3 linked regions of the Drosophila melanogaster genome follow. The protein of the gene in region 3 interacts with the protein of the main gene of each other region in a pairwise test. Each region holds a gene or a part of one and is shown on either strand. Other genes may lie near its edges. The genes, in order: Calr, Hsc20 and IscU.

Region 1 (4,590 bases), 810 kb from region 3:
AATGCAAGGATATGCAGGAGCGTTCGCCCTTTCAGTGCCCCCACTGTCAGCAGGCCTTTACTCGCGAACAAAACCTCAAGGCGCACCTGTTGATCCACGCGGAATCGAAACAGGGAAACGGACCCCACAAATGTTCATACTGCCAAACGGGATTCTTCAACAAGTCGGCCCTCAAGGTGCACATCCATGCGCACATGGGCGAACGGCCGCATGCCTGTCCCTTCTGCGTGTCCAACTTCCGTTCCAAGCAGGCCCTTAAGGTCCACATCCGCATACACACGGGCGAGAAGCCCTACCAATGCCCCCACTGCCCCAAGACTTTTTCGGACAACAATAACCTGGCGAAGCACCGACGACGCCACTCGGATGAACGGCCCTACAAGTGTTCCATCTGCCTGCAGGACTTCCGGGAGAAACATCATCTGAAGCGGCACTTTCTGGGCAAGCATCGGGATGGAGATCAAAAGCTAAAGCTAAAGTGATACCTTAAATTCTTGACCAAATACCACGGCTTACTCGAATAAATAAATTAGGATTCGGTTATGTTTATATCTCATTGTTTCTATAGTTCATATTGGGATTTAATTGAATTTAGGATTTATATTTTCGTAGAATTCGAACAGCACTTTGAAAACCATTTGGAGTGGCAACACCGTTTTTCTGTAAATCAAAATTCGATGTAGACACGACGATATAGACAGCGTTGCCATTCGGCCGTGATTTGTTCACGTGGCACCACCATTTTGATAAACAAGCTAAACAACCCTTAAATCGCTCGAAAAGAGCAATGGAAAAAAACAACAAGTTGTATGTTTATAAATTATAAGTCTTACAAATTGTAATTGTGGTTTCCGTTTGCTTAGAACATCAAAGCAGCTACCAACACACAAAAAATACCGAATATTTCTCGACGTAATTTTCCCTAGACGTCCTTACAATTCGTCGTGTTCGCTTTGATCTTTGTCTTGCTTAGATTCATCATCCTTCTCCTCATCGTCATCATCCTCGTCCTCATCGTCCTTGTCGGAAGCCTTTTTCGCCTCCTCCTCGTCCTTCTTGCGCTGCACCTCATCCTGGGCCTCCTTCATTTTCTTCTCGCCCGCCTGGGTGTTCTTGACTTCGGCAGCAGCCTTAGCGGCCAGCTCCACGTCGTCCGTGATCAGGACGTTGTCGAAGATAGTGCCGGACTTGACCTGCCAGAGATCGAAGCCCAGGGTGCAGATCTCCTTGCGCAGATACAGCTTGTCGTCGGGCACATACTCGGGATTGGCGATCTCGGGATGCTCCCAGGCGCCCTTGTAGTTGGGGTTGTCCAGCTGCTTTGGCTGCCACTCGCCCTTGAACTCAGGGTTGTCGATCATCGGTGGCTCCCACTCGCCGTCCATCTCATCGTCCCAATCCTCAGGCTTTGTGGCATCTGGGTCGGGAATGTGCTCTGGTTTGTCCCAGTCCTCGGGCTTCTTGTCATCGGGATCGGGAATGGTGGCCTACAGAGATTTACGTTGTTGTTTAATAACAATGAGCCAAACCGGTTTTTCGATGGGCTAAAGTCTGATTTGGGCGGGGATTTACAACTTACCCTATCGTCCCAGTCTTCGGGCTTGGTGGCGGTGGGATCCTTGATCTTCTTGGGGGCCAGGAAGTCCCAGTCGTCCTCCAGGTTGCCAGACTCCACCTTCTCGTTGTCGATGAGCACCTCGTACGTGTTGTCGGGTCTGACAATCAGCGTGTAGAAGTGGGTGTACACGTCATCTTTGCAGCGGATGTCTTTGCTGATTAGGTGGTTCTTGCCCTTGTAGCTGAAGATCACATGGACCTTCTTGGTGCCGGGTCCGCAGATGTCCGGGCCGAACATGATCTCGTACGGCGACTCGCCGTGCATGTCGGTCTGGTCGAGGGAGCAGTCGAACAGCTTCACATAGCCGCCGCCGCAGTCGATATTCTGCTCGTGCTTCACGGAGAACTGCACCACGAGGGGCTTGTCCTCGTTGGAGAAGCCATCAAACTTGCGGCTGGCCGCGTAGAATCGAGCATCCTGAGAGGTCTGAATGCCTATATAATGTGTGTCCACATCAATACGAATGCGCGCCGCGCGGAGGTGGGGGGCGAGAAAAAATGTGTATACAGTTACTATAGCTACTCGAAAACGTACACGTAGTGGTTTTTCTTCTTCTTCCTCTTCTTCTTCGTGCCCATGTTCTCCGCATACACGGGCACATACAAATGCAGATAACACGCCGACGAAAAATAAAAATGGCAGAACGAGCGAAGAGAAAGATTTGGAAAAGGGAGTGACGACACATCGACACATATACGCTACCTTTGTCGGCCTCAGCATCGTTGTAGAAGGTACCGGGGGTGAGGACGAATTTTCCGAACTCCTTGCCAGGATGTTTGCTGTAGATCCACGTATCCTCCCAGTTTTCTACGGGAACAAGCGGGGGAGTGCTTTTATTATTCTTCTATTTTTATTGTCTCTCCTTTCGTTATTCATTGAAGGGGAGCGGAGGACCACATGGCGGCCATAGAACGCGATGACTACCACTTACCGTTGTCGAAATTCTCCTTCAGATAAACCTCGGCACTAATAAAGCCGACTGTCGCCAGCAACACTATCACTGTTTTGCACCACATCATGTGAACGATCCCGCACCACTTTTTGGACTGACTCTTCCAACTCCGATGGTTGTCCGAACTCGGTTAAAGTTAAGTACTAAATGCCGGCAAGAAAGTGCTATTTATTTATTGCATCTAAATCGTGCGTGTCGGAGCGGGACGGCTTGTTACTGAAATTGGTTTGCTGGAACGTTTTCATTGGCCCAAATCAGGCCAATCAGGGATGTCTACGTATTCTTTTTCACCGGCCAGGGCTGATTTCGATAAGCAATCGCATGCTGCCCTGTCGCTATCGATTGCTTGAGCTGGAATTAGAAACACTAAAGTGACCGTTTGCTAATTAAATTAAATTATAAAATATATAAAATTAATATATTCTGGCATACAATTAATCACTTGCAGCAGGCTAAGCTAAGAAAACATAAAATTACTCCAATAACAATTCTTCTACTACTTAACAATTGTAGTAGTTACAGGAAGAACAGTTGTGCTTCCAGAACATTCCTAAGCTTTTTAACGGCTTAAGGGTTTTGAAAATTTTAACTCACACTTACATCACATGTTAACAATTAAGTTTTCACCCGATAAAGTTCATAGTATTTAAAAAGTTAGAATGTTAATTATACATTATAATACAAATCAAAAACAAATAAAGGAATTCCAAAACTTTGCACCTGTATTTCGTTAATTTTAGGAACTTTTTTATCTATAAGTGCTAACTTTTACATTTGACTTTATTACATTAAAAAATTACAATTTTCGCTGGAAATGTATTATATTAATAAAAAAGATAAATAGCCAGAAATAGAAAAGTGAAATTAAATTAATTAAAACAAAAAAGCTTTGGTATTTATACCAATAGACCTTCTAAGGTATTTTTTAAGACCTAGCTTTGTGGCAGATACGGTAAGTTCGTGTCGAGCCCACGTGTTGAGCCAATCTTATCAAACGCCGATTCGAATGCGGCATTAAACAAATGGATTCCCTTAACAACGGATGGTTCAGCGAACTGCAGGCCGATCTCTGGCCCGGTCAGTCATTCTCCCTGAAAGTCAAGGAGGTCATCCACAAGGAGAAGTCCCGGTTCCAAGACATCCAGATCGTTGAAACGTAAGATAAATAATAGATAAACAAATACTTGGACACACAACCCCATTTGTTTACATCCGAAATTCCTCAGTCTAGACTGAAGTTTGAAGATAGATGTCAAAATAAATTAGCTTAGATTGAGATTAAAAAACTAAATTAAAATCATTATAAACACGCAAGTCACACAAATCCGAAATTTTTAACAGCTTAAGCTGTTGAGATTTTAAGGACTAACCTACAATAGCCTAATCCCATATGTATCCTACATTGAAGGTCCCTAAATCATAGATTGTAGAAATCGAAAATTTTCCACTGGTTGTTCAAACACAAATTGCCCAGCCAGCATTTTCGGACCCTTTGGTTTTCGTGTGTTTATTCTTGATCTGCACCAACAGCCTTATCGATGGAGTCATCTAGGGCCAAAAACGACAGACAGAATACTGATAGCAAGTCAGCTCGTCTTTCAGGTTTGAGTTCCTCCAGTCGAACATTGGGTACACTTGCGCCGCTGAAAAAATCAATAATTCGATAATTCTATTACAGCGAAACCTATGGACGGTGCCTAATTCTGGACGGAATCATTCAGTGCACGGCCAGGGATGAGTTCTCGTACCAGGAGATGATATCTTTCCTGCCGCTCTGCGCCCATCCCAATCCCAAAAAGGTCCTGATCGTGGGCGGTGGCGATGGCGGCGTTGCTCGCGAGGTGGTAAAGCATCCACTGGTCGAGGAAGTGCATCAGGTGGAAATCGACGACCGTGTCGTCGAGCTGTCCAAGCAATATCTCCCAGCGATGGCCTGTGGTTTCGCCAACGAGAAGTTGAAGCTTACCATTGGCGATGGATTCGACTATATGAAGAAACACAAGAACGAATTTGATGTCAT
Region 2 (3,196 bases), on a different chromosome or scaffold from region 3:
AGTTAAGGTCATTGAAGGATTGCCCTTTAAAGAAACAGGTGTCCCAGTCGAGAAGGATGACTCATAGGGAAGGTGTCTATAAGAACTAACAAAGCATACCATTGCTAATGTATTCTTAACATTTTTATTATATTTTATATAGTCTAATTTGCTTTCATTCCAAGTTATGACTATTTTTGGAATTCTCTAGAGGAATCTAGCCGGTTTGGAGCCACTCAAATATTTCACTTACGAATTGCGACTGCATTTGGGACATGCGCTGCGCGCGTAAGGCATCCAAATCACTATCCGACATTCTGGGTTCTTATTCTCAGTATATTTATGGCAGTAAATTAAGTAATTATTGCTTTTTTTGCTTCTATAAAAATAAATCACGCTCTTTGTAGCAAAAAAAGTGTGCGATTGAACAGTGTGACCTTGCTATTCCTTGCTTATTCGTAAATCCGAATGCTCAAAATTGCGTTTGAGTAGCCCTGGTCATTCGGTGTTTTCTAGAAGAAGAAGAGTTGCGAAGAAAAATAAAATATTTGCCAAGGAAAACAAACATATTAACGAAATACCCACAAAATAAGGAACGAATTTGAATCGTTAAAAATGTCTGCACCGCTAGAGAACCTTGAGACCCAGCTAGAGATGTTCATCGAGAATGTTCGTCAGATCCGCATAATCGTAAGCGATTTTCAGCCACAGGGTCAAAATGTACTCAACCAGAAAATGTAAGAAAATGCTAAAATTTATTTGATCAAATGTCTATAAATATGTGCACCATTAGTAACAGCTTGGTGACCGGCCTACAAGAGATCGACAAGCTGCGCTCCCAGGTGCAGGACGTCTATGTGCCATTTGAAGTGTTTTTTGACTACATCGACCAAGACAAGAATCCTCAGCTGTACACCAAGGATTGCGTGGAGAAGGCACTGGCCAAGAACGAGGAGGTCAAGGGCAAGATCGAGGGCCTGAAGAAGTTCAAAACGAATCTGCTGCTGGAGCTGTATAAAACATTTCCCAATGAGATGAACAACTACCGCGCTTATCGCAAGGACTCCATGTAAGGACGTGCTCGAAGGACACGCGACCTGAACTTTAGATTGTAAGCCACATGTTGGAATAAATTTATACTTCTGTACATAAAACTCTGTGTTTCACTATCCATTAAGACTATATGTTGGTATACTTTCCTGCTCTTTGTCTGATATTTTCTTATGTATATATATAAAATGTTACTTATTAAAGACATTAATTTGTATATTTTTACCTTCCTTTTCTTTTTGCTTATATTGAACCTCTATCCTATTTGAACTTTATTAAATTGAATTGTTTCTATGAATAAGTTATACTATATTTAATTACTTAATTTCAATTAACAATTTTTAAGGTCTTACATTTTAAATAGACCAATGACTATTTAAACGTCATAAATGTCAATATTTAATAGTTAAATGAAATAGTTTAAAAAGTTTTAAGCTCGATAGTCGCAAAGCAGTAGCGTTGCCACCTTAGTTTCATATCAGCTGTTTTTTGTTATTATCAGCTTGTGTAATTAAAGGCTTCGATTGTGTATATCATTCAGTTAAATTTATTGTAGAAAATGAGTAGAGTTATTAATGGCTTTAAAAGTGCTGTAAAAGCTACAAATTATACACCGCTTGTTAGAAATGCAGCACAATTTAATCAATTCCAGTTGCCAGAAATACGGAAATTTTCAGTTGAATCTTCGCCGGCTTGTTGGAATTGCCAAAAGAAATCGGAATTAAAGCAGAATATGATATGTTCGGACTGTGGACACTTGCAGGATGTTAACTCAGGAATAGTTAGTACTTATCTACATTTTATTTGGCTAATTTAACTTTTAGTTTCTGTAGAATTACTTTAAACTGCTCAGCTTTCCCATTCAATTTTCTTTGGAGTCCCAGAAGTTGACAAGAAGTTTTCGCCAGTTGCAGACCATTGTGCATCCCGATAAATATAGTAATAAGTGGGTATAGTCATAAGTGATAAAATCAGGAAGGCAACGATAAAATCCCCTTGTTTACAGAACCTCACGGGAGCAAACAAACTCCTCAGACTGGAGTTCCCTCATCAACAAGGCATATAAAACGCTTTCCACGCCCATAGATCGTGGTCAGTACCTTCTTCAACTGGAGGGCGAACAGATGCCGCAGGATAATAGCGCTCTTAACAAAGAGTTTCTCATGGCCATGATGGAGCGGAACGAGGAGGTGGAGGATGCGGAAGACACCCAAACGCTGGAGAATTTAAATATTCAGCTCATCAAGGAACTGGAGGAGATGGCCCGGAAGTTAAATGCCCTTTTCGATAGCAAAGATCTTTCGGGAGTCAAAGAAACCCTCGTAGAGATGAAGTACCTGCTGAGTATTCAGAACAGCATTAAACAGAAGCAACAAAGTTTGCTGGGCAGCTGAATTGGCATTAATCGACTTGGCAATCGGTTCTGATCGCACACACACACGTCCGCCTGTTGCTATCTATCAGCTGTTAAGTAAACAATAACACAGACTTCGTTTGTTTTATAATGTGAATAAAAATCGCGACTGAACAGTTATGATCGATGCAATTAGTTAATTATCCAATAGTGCCCGAATAAAACAGGTTTTTATCCAACTTTCGATGGAAGCCCCAGGAGTAATTCCCCTTCTCATTGAGCACCCTGTGCCACGGTCACAATACTTTGGAAAAAAAATATAATCAATTAATCGCAGTACTATCTGCTGGACTCAAGTCGCCAGGGGTACACCCCCCGAAGGCCCTAGAAATCACACATCGCAAACTCATGCCCACGCACACAGCCTGAGCCATTTGTATAGGTGAGGAAAATCGTCGCACCTTATATAAATTCAAATCGACTGTTGCCTCAGCGGACAGTTCCTATTAATTGGTCACCGAGGTTGGACTCACCTGTGCCCTTGCCAAGACTTCCCGTTGGGAAATACTTCTGGCAGCCGGAAAACTTGCGAATAATTAAAACAACAAGCTAAGAAAGAATTCCCTGAGAAAGCTAGCTTACCGACTTAGCGTGTTTTTAAAGAATTACCTGTGGAATAATCAATAGCTCATAACAAGGTACTTAGGAAACTGAAGATACCTCCAACCGAACCAAAGAAAAACGGATATTTCGGAAGATAAAATACTCGTTTTAAGATCTAACAAAATGCAGAAGTTCTCGATCAGCTTGCTG
Region 3 (3,726 bases):
TTGGTGGGATACTGCGTAATGTCAATGATGGGTGCATTAGATAGATCCGGCACAGGTTGGGCCAGACTCAATGTGTTACTGGGCGAGGGCGGGGCACTGGACTCTGCCTGCGTGTGAGCCAGAGTTGTGATGAAGTTCCGATTCAGGTGCACTGCCTCGTAGAGGGCAAGTAGAAGGCCATTATTCGCCTTGATCTGCTGCACCCGTTCGCATCCTTCATCCGACACAAACATGTTGCCCACAATATTCGACAGCGACGAAAACCAGGAAGAGGATTGCACATTGTTAAGGCTCTGAATGTACTGGCGACAGAAATCAATTAGCGATTGCGATATCATTTGGCCATAGCTGGAATCAAGATAAAGTTCGGGTTACTATCGAAATAAGATATGCAAGCTCGTGGCAAGTTATCTGTTTGATGACGTCAGTCACCAACTGCTGCCACATAAAAGAACTTTGTGATTCAGTTTAAATATTTGATTACCCTCGATTATAAATTCTTTAAGCCAATTGCTTTCACATAAGTTGCCAGAAATATACATACATACATTACATTGACTAAATGGACTCACCCATTTAAAGCCAGCTCATCAGCGAGTATGGAGAGCTGCACCACATAGGGGTTAGTGGCTTCATGCTTGCGATAGTTGACCAGGATAGTAAGTAGGATAACGATGTCGTGTCCATGCTGGCTACGGAACGTAGGATCACTGAGTAGCCGAACAAAGGCGTCGAACATGCTGTGCATCATTAGATGCTCGAAGAGGGCGTTCTGGTTGACGTTATCCGTGCCCGTAACCAGAACCTGCAGCAGTTTGAGGCACATAAATCGAGCGTTTTCGGGCACATCGCCCAGGAGGATGCGATTGCAGTACTGCATGAGTAGCTTCAGCCATTCGTCCATCTTCTCATGGCCGAAGATCTCGTTTAGGATGTTTAATGTTGGTTCTGCGTTGGACTTCTTAAAGATCCCGTAGAACAGGGAGCACAGCGTGTGTAGGCTGTTGCACAGCCGCTTAGGATGATCTTCTGGGGGAAATCACGGATTATAGGTGGCTGGAGGTATATATTAATAGGTCAAACTGGTCTACCCGTGTCAAGCATTTCGATGCACCTCTGGAAGAGGGTGTTCAGGTTCGGTTTCACCAGCTGCAGCTGCTCGTTGTTGAGTTTGCCAATCTCATTCTCCAGCGCCTCGAAGTTCGGCTGCAGCAGGAAGAACTCGTTCCAAAATTCGGGACTCTCGCTGCTGGGATCCTCGCCCCGGCACAACAGCTCATATATATAGACCACCTGCAATAAATTCCAATTAGTCAAGCAAAGCACAAATCTTCGAGGGCGGAGCTCGTGAAATCCAGTGCTCCGGGCGAACCTTCTCCTTGGGCCGCTTGGTGGAGCCGCTGCCACTGCGCTTGCGAGAGGTCATGACTGGATGTGGATATTATTGACCTAGGGGACTAGTTTCAGAAACTCATAGTCTGCTGCTGTAAAAATATATCGGAAGTTGGCAGAATTTGTGGATGGGCAATAGTAAACTTTGTGATTGGGGAGTGACCATAGGAGTGAGTTTACAAAATACCTGGCAAGCTGCCAACTCAGAGTGTGATTTTAAATGCAAGAGGGTGCTTTATTCAAGCTTTTTTATGGCTCATTATTGATAAAAACAATTTATTACTTATAGTAAATAACTTATTATACTGAACTGTTTTTAAGGAGTAAATAATAATAATATAAGAAATCTTTTAAAAAATCGAAAACATATCGACAACGGCGTTAGCTGGTCTTTCACATCTGCCTTAAAACGGGCACACTGTCCATCAGCTGTTTCTAACACGCAGTTGCCTGTGTTTTTTCGATCTCTTTGAATTTCACAACAATTCTTCATTAAATTGATTTATTTAATTTAAATATGTCCCTGGTGCGAAACTCCTCCCGGTTGCTGCGATCGCAGCTGAAGCGCGTACAAAGTGTCCCGGTGGCATTGTATCATGAAAATGTAAGTTAGAACTCGCAATTGCCGCGCGGAAGGTTCTTTCGTAATATCTAGAAGCTGTATAATATAGATAAGAAACGACTTTGTTGTCGTTCTGAAAGACAGCGTTTCAGGCGGCACGCAAAGTGATAAGCGCGATAGCACAACCCCCTGGTGACTAACACACCTACCTATTTTCACCCACAGGTCGTTGAGCACTACGAAAACCCGCGCAACGTGGGATCTTTGGACAAGAAGGATGTCACTGTGGGCACCGGCTTGGTCGGAGCACCAGCCTGCGGCGATGTGATGAAACTGCAGATCAAGGTGGACGAGAACGGCAAGATAGTGGACGCCAAGTTCAAGACCTTCGGCTGTGGATCGGCCATTGCCAGCAGCTCCCTGGCCACCGAGTGGGTGAAGGGCAAGTCCATCGACGAGGCCGGAAAGCTGAAGAATACGGACATCGCCAAGGAGCTGCGTCTGCCGCCCGTCAAGCTGCATTGCTCCATGCTGGCCGAGGATGCCATCAAGGCGGCCCTGGCTGACTACAAGGTCAAGCAGCAGAAGAAGGTGGCCAACTGAGAGGCGGAACGGAATCTGTGAATGTAGTGGAGCGTTTCTCTGAACAACTACTAAAAAAAAAACAACTATAAGTACTCTACCATACAATACAATACCATATACTATATATTACTTGGCATTAGGTCGTAGTATGCGATTATTGTTCGCTAGAGCTCTGTGAGTGGTGAGTCAAATGGTATGGATACAGTGAATGGTGGTTAAGAGGAACTACATACATATTTTTTAATAATATGTATGACAATGCAAAATAATCCTCGTTTATTGCCTATTGGCTAGTTGCTCTTAACACACTTTTACTGAAATAATAACAATAATAATCATACCAACTGATTAATGCTTTGATTTTGATTGCAGATTGGCCGCGTGACTGCTGATAAGTGCATAGAAGTTTAGGAATCGTCTGTCATTGATACTAAAGGATAGCTGGAACTGATCTTGTATGAATGCATATGCACGTGTGTGTTTTGTAGGGGAATTCTAAGTAGTCCCGAGAGCTAATTAAATTTTCCGTTCTGTTATGCGAAATACAAGCTTGTGTCGAAAACAAATAAAGCGTTCCCGTTGGAATAAAAAATACATGAATATATTATTGCACAATCAGTGAAAGATGTTTAATCGTCAAAAGTGTTGAAATTGGACTTCTAGGACAGGCGAACGCTCACTCCACCGCCGCACTCGCCCTTGGACTTCTGCTCGAATGCTGCAAAAGGATTAAATCATATTTAATTCTGTAAGGATATTGTAGAGGATCTCTTACGATCGTCGGCATGCTGGCAGTTGTAGTTGGCCATGACGCACGGGCTGCCAAAGGTGAGGAGGCGCTCCTTGCTGCTGTTTTTGGCCTTGGCACAAACGGGCTCGTAGACTTCACCGCAGTTGTGCTGGCAACTGTTGGTGGCCGGCTTCTTGGTGTCCTTGGCCGGAGTAGCCAGGACGAATGCCAGCAAGCACAGTGCTAAATAAGTTTGGTCATGTTAAAATTCTTAAGCCCGCTCAATTATGTTTGTTTAAATGAAAACTAGATAAATATGTATTAGTACTTTATTTAATTTAATTGCATCACCGTTCGGAGCAAATTATATTTTTGTAGATCGGAATATAATTCTGTCCGTGAGATCATTCATTTGGGCTTTTGGTCTTAATGGATAGCCAATTATTTTTGCACTTTC

What was found.
Region 1: the proteins of IscU (region 3) and Calr interact in a two-hybrid assay, tested with the Drosophila melanogaster proteins (one large-scale study listed by BioGRID).
Region 2: the proteins of IscU (region 3) and Hsc20 interact in a two-hybrid assay, tested with the Drosophila melanogaster proteins (one large-scale study listed by BioGRID).

Annotation. Positions count from the first base shown.
Region 1 is NT_033777.3:9,628,129-9,632,718, forward strand, and holds Calr (calreticulin), read right to left. Parts: upstream 2,724-4,590; 5' UTR 2,638-2,723; coding exon 2,550-2,637; intron 2,426-2,549; coding exon 2,321-2,425; intron 2,313-2,320; exon of another isoform or gene 2,127-2,312; intron 2,053-2,126; coding exon 1,580-2,052; intron 1,488-1,579; coding exon 933-1,487; 3' UTR 563-932; downstream 1-562. Other genes in the region: CG8319 (uncharacterized protein), read left to right, coding at 1-482; SpdS (spermidine synthase), read left to right, coding at 3,593-3,726, 4,249-4,590. UniProt on the Drosophila melanogaster protein: Molecular calcium-binding chaperone promoting folding, oligomeric assembly and quality control in the ER via the calreticulin/calnexin cycle.
Region 2 is NT_037436.4:16,231,608-16,234,803, forward strand, and holds Hsc20 (heat shock protein cognate 20), read left to right. Parts: upstream 1-1,519; 5' UTR 1,520-1,588; coding exon 1,589-1,810; intron 1,811-1,862; coding exon 1,863-1,975; intron 1,976-2,035; coding exon 2,036-2,423; 3' UTR 2,424-2,558; downstream 2,559-3,196. Other genes in the region: PDCD-5 (programmed cell death 5), read right to left, coding at 233-295; MED10 (mediator complex subunit 10), read left to right, coding at 595-716, 773-1,052; l(3)72Dp (lethal (3) 72Dp), read left to right, coding at 3,170-3,196.
Region 3 is NT_033777.3:8,822,255-8,825,980, reverse strand, and holds IscU (Iron-sulfur cluster assembly enzyme), read left to right. Parts: upstream 1-1,803; 5' UTR 1,804-1,909; coding exon 1,910-1,996; intron 1,997-2,179; coding exon 2,180-2,557; 3' UTR 2,558-2,720; intron 2,721-2,911; 3' UTR 2,912-3,132; downstream 3,133-3,726. Other genes in the region: CG8379 (uncharacterized protein), read right to left, coding at 1-348, 573-1,029, 1,092-1,293, 1,373-1,426; CG8369 (uncharacterized protein), read right to left, coding at 3,199-3,257, 3,315-3,512. UniProt on the Drosophila melanogaster protein: Scaffold protein for the de novo synthesis of iron-sulfur (Fe-S) clusters within mitochondria, which is required for maturation of both mitochondrial and cytoplasmic [2Fe-2S] and [4Fe-4S] proteins.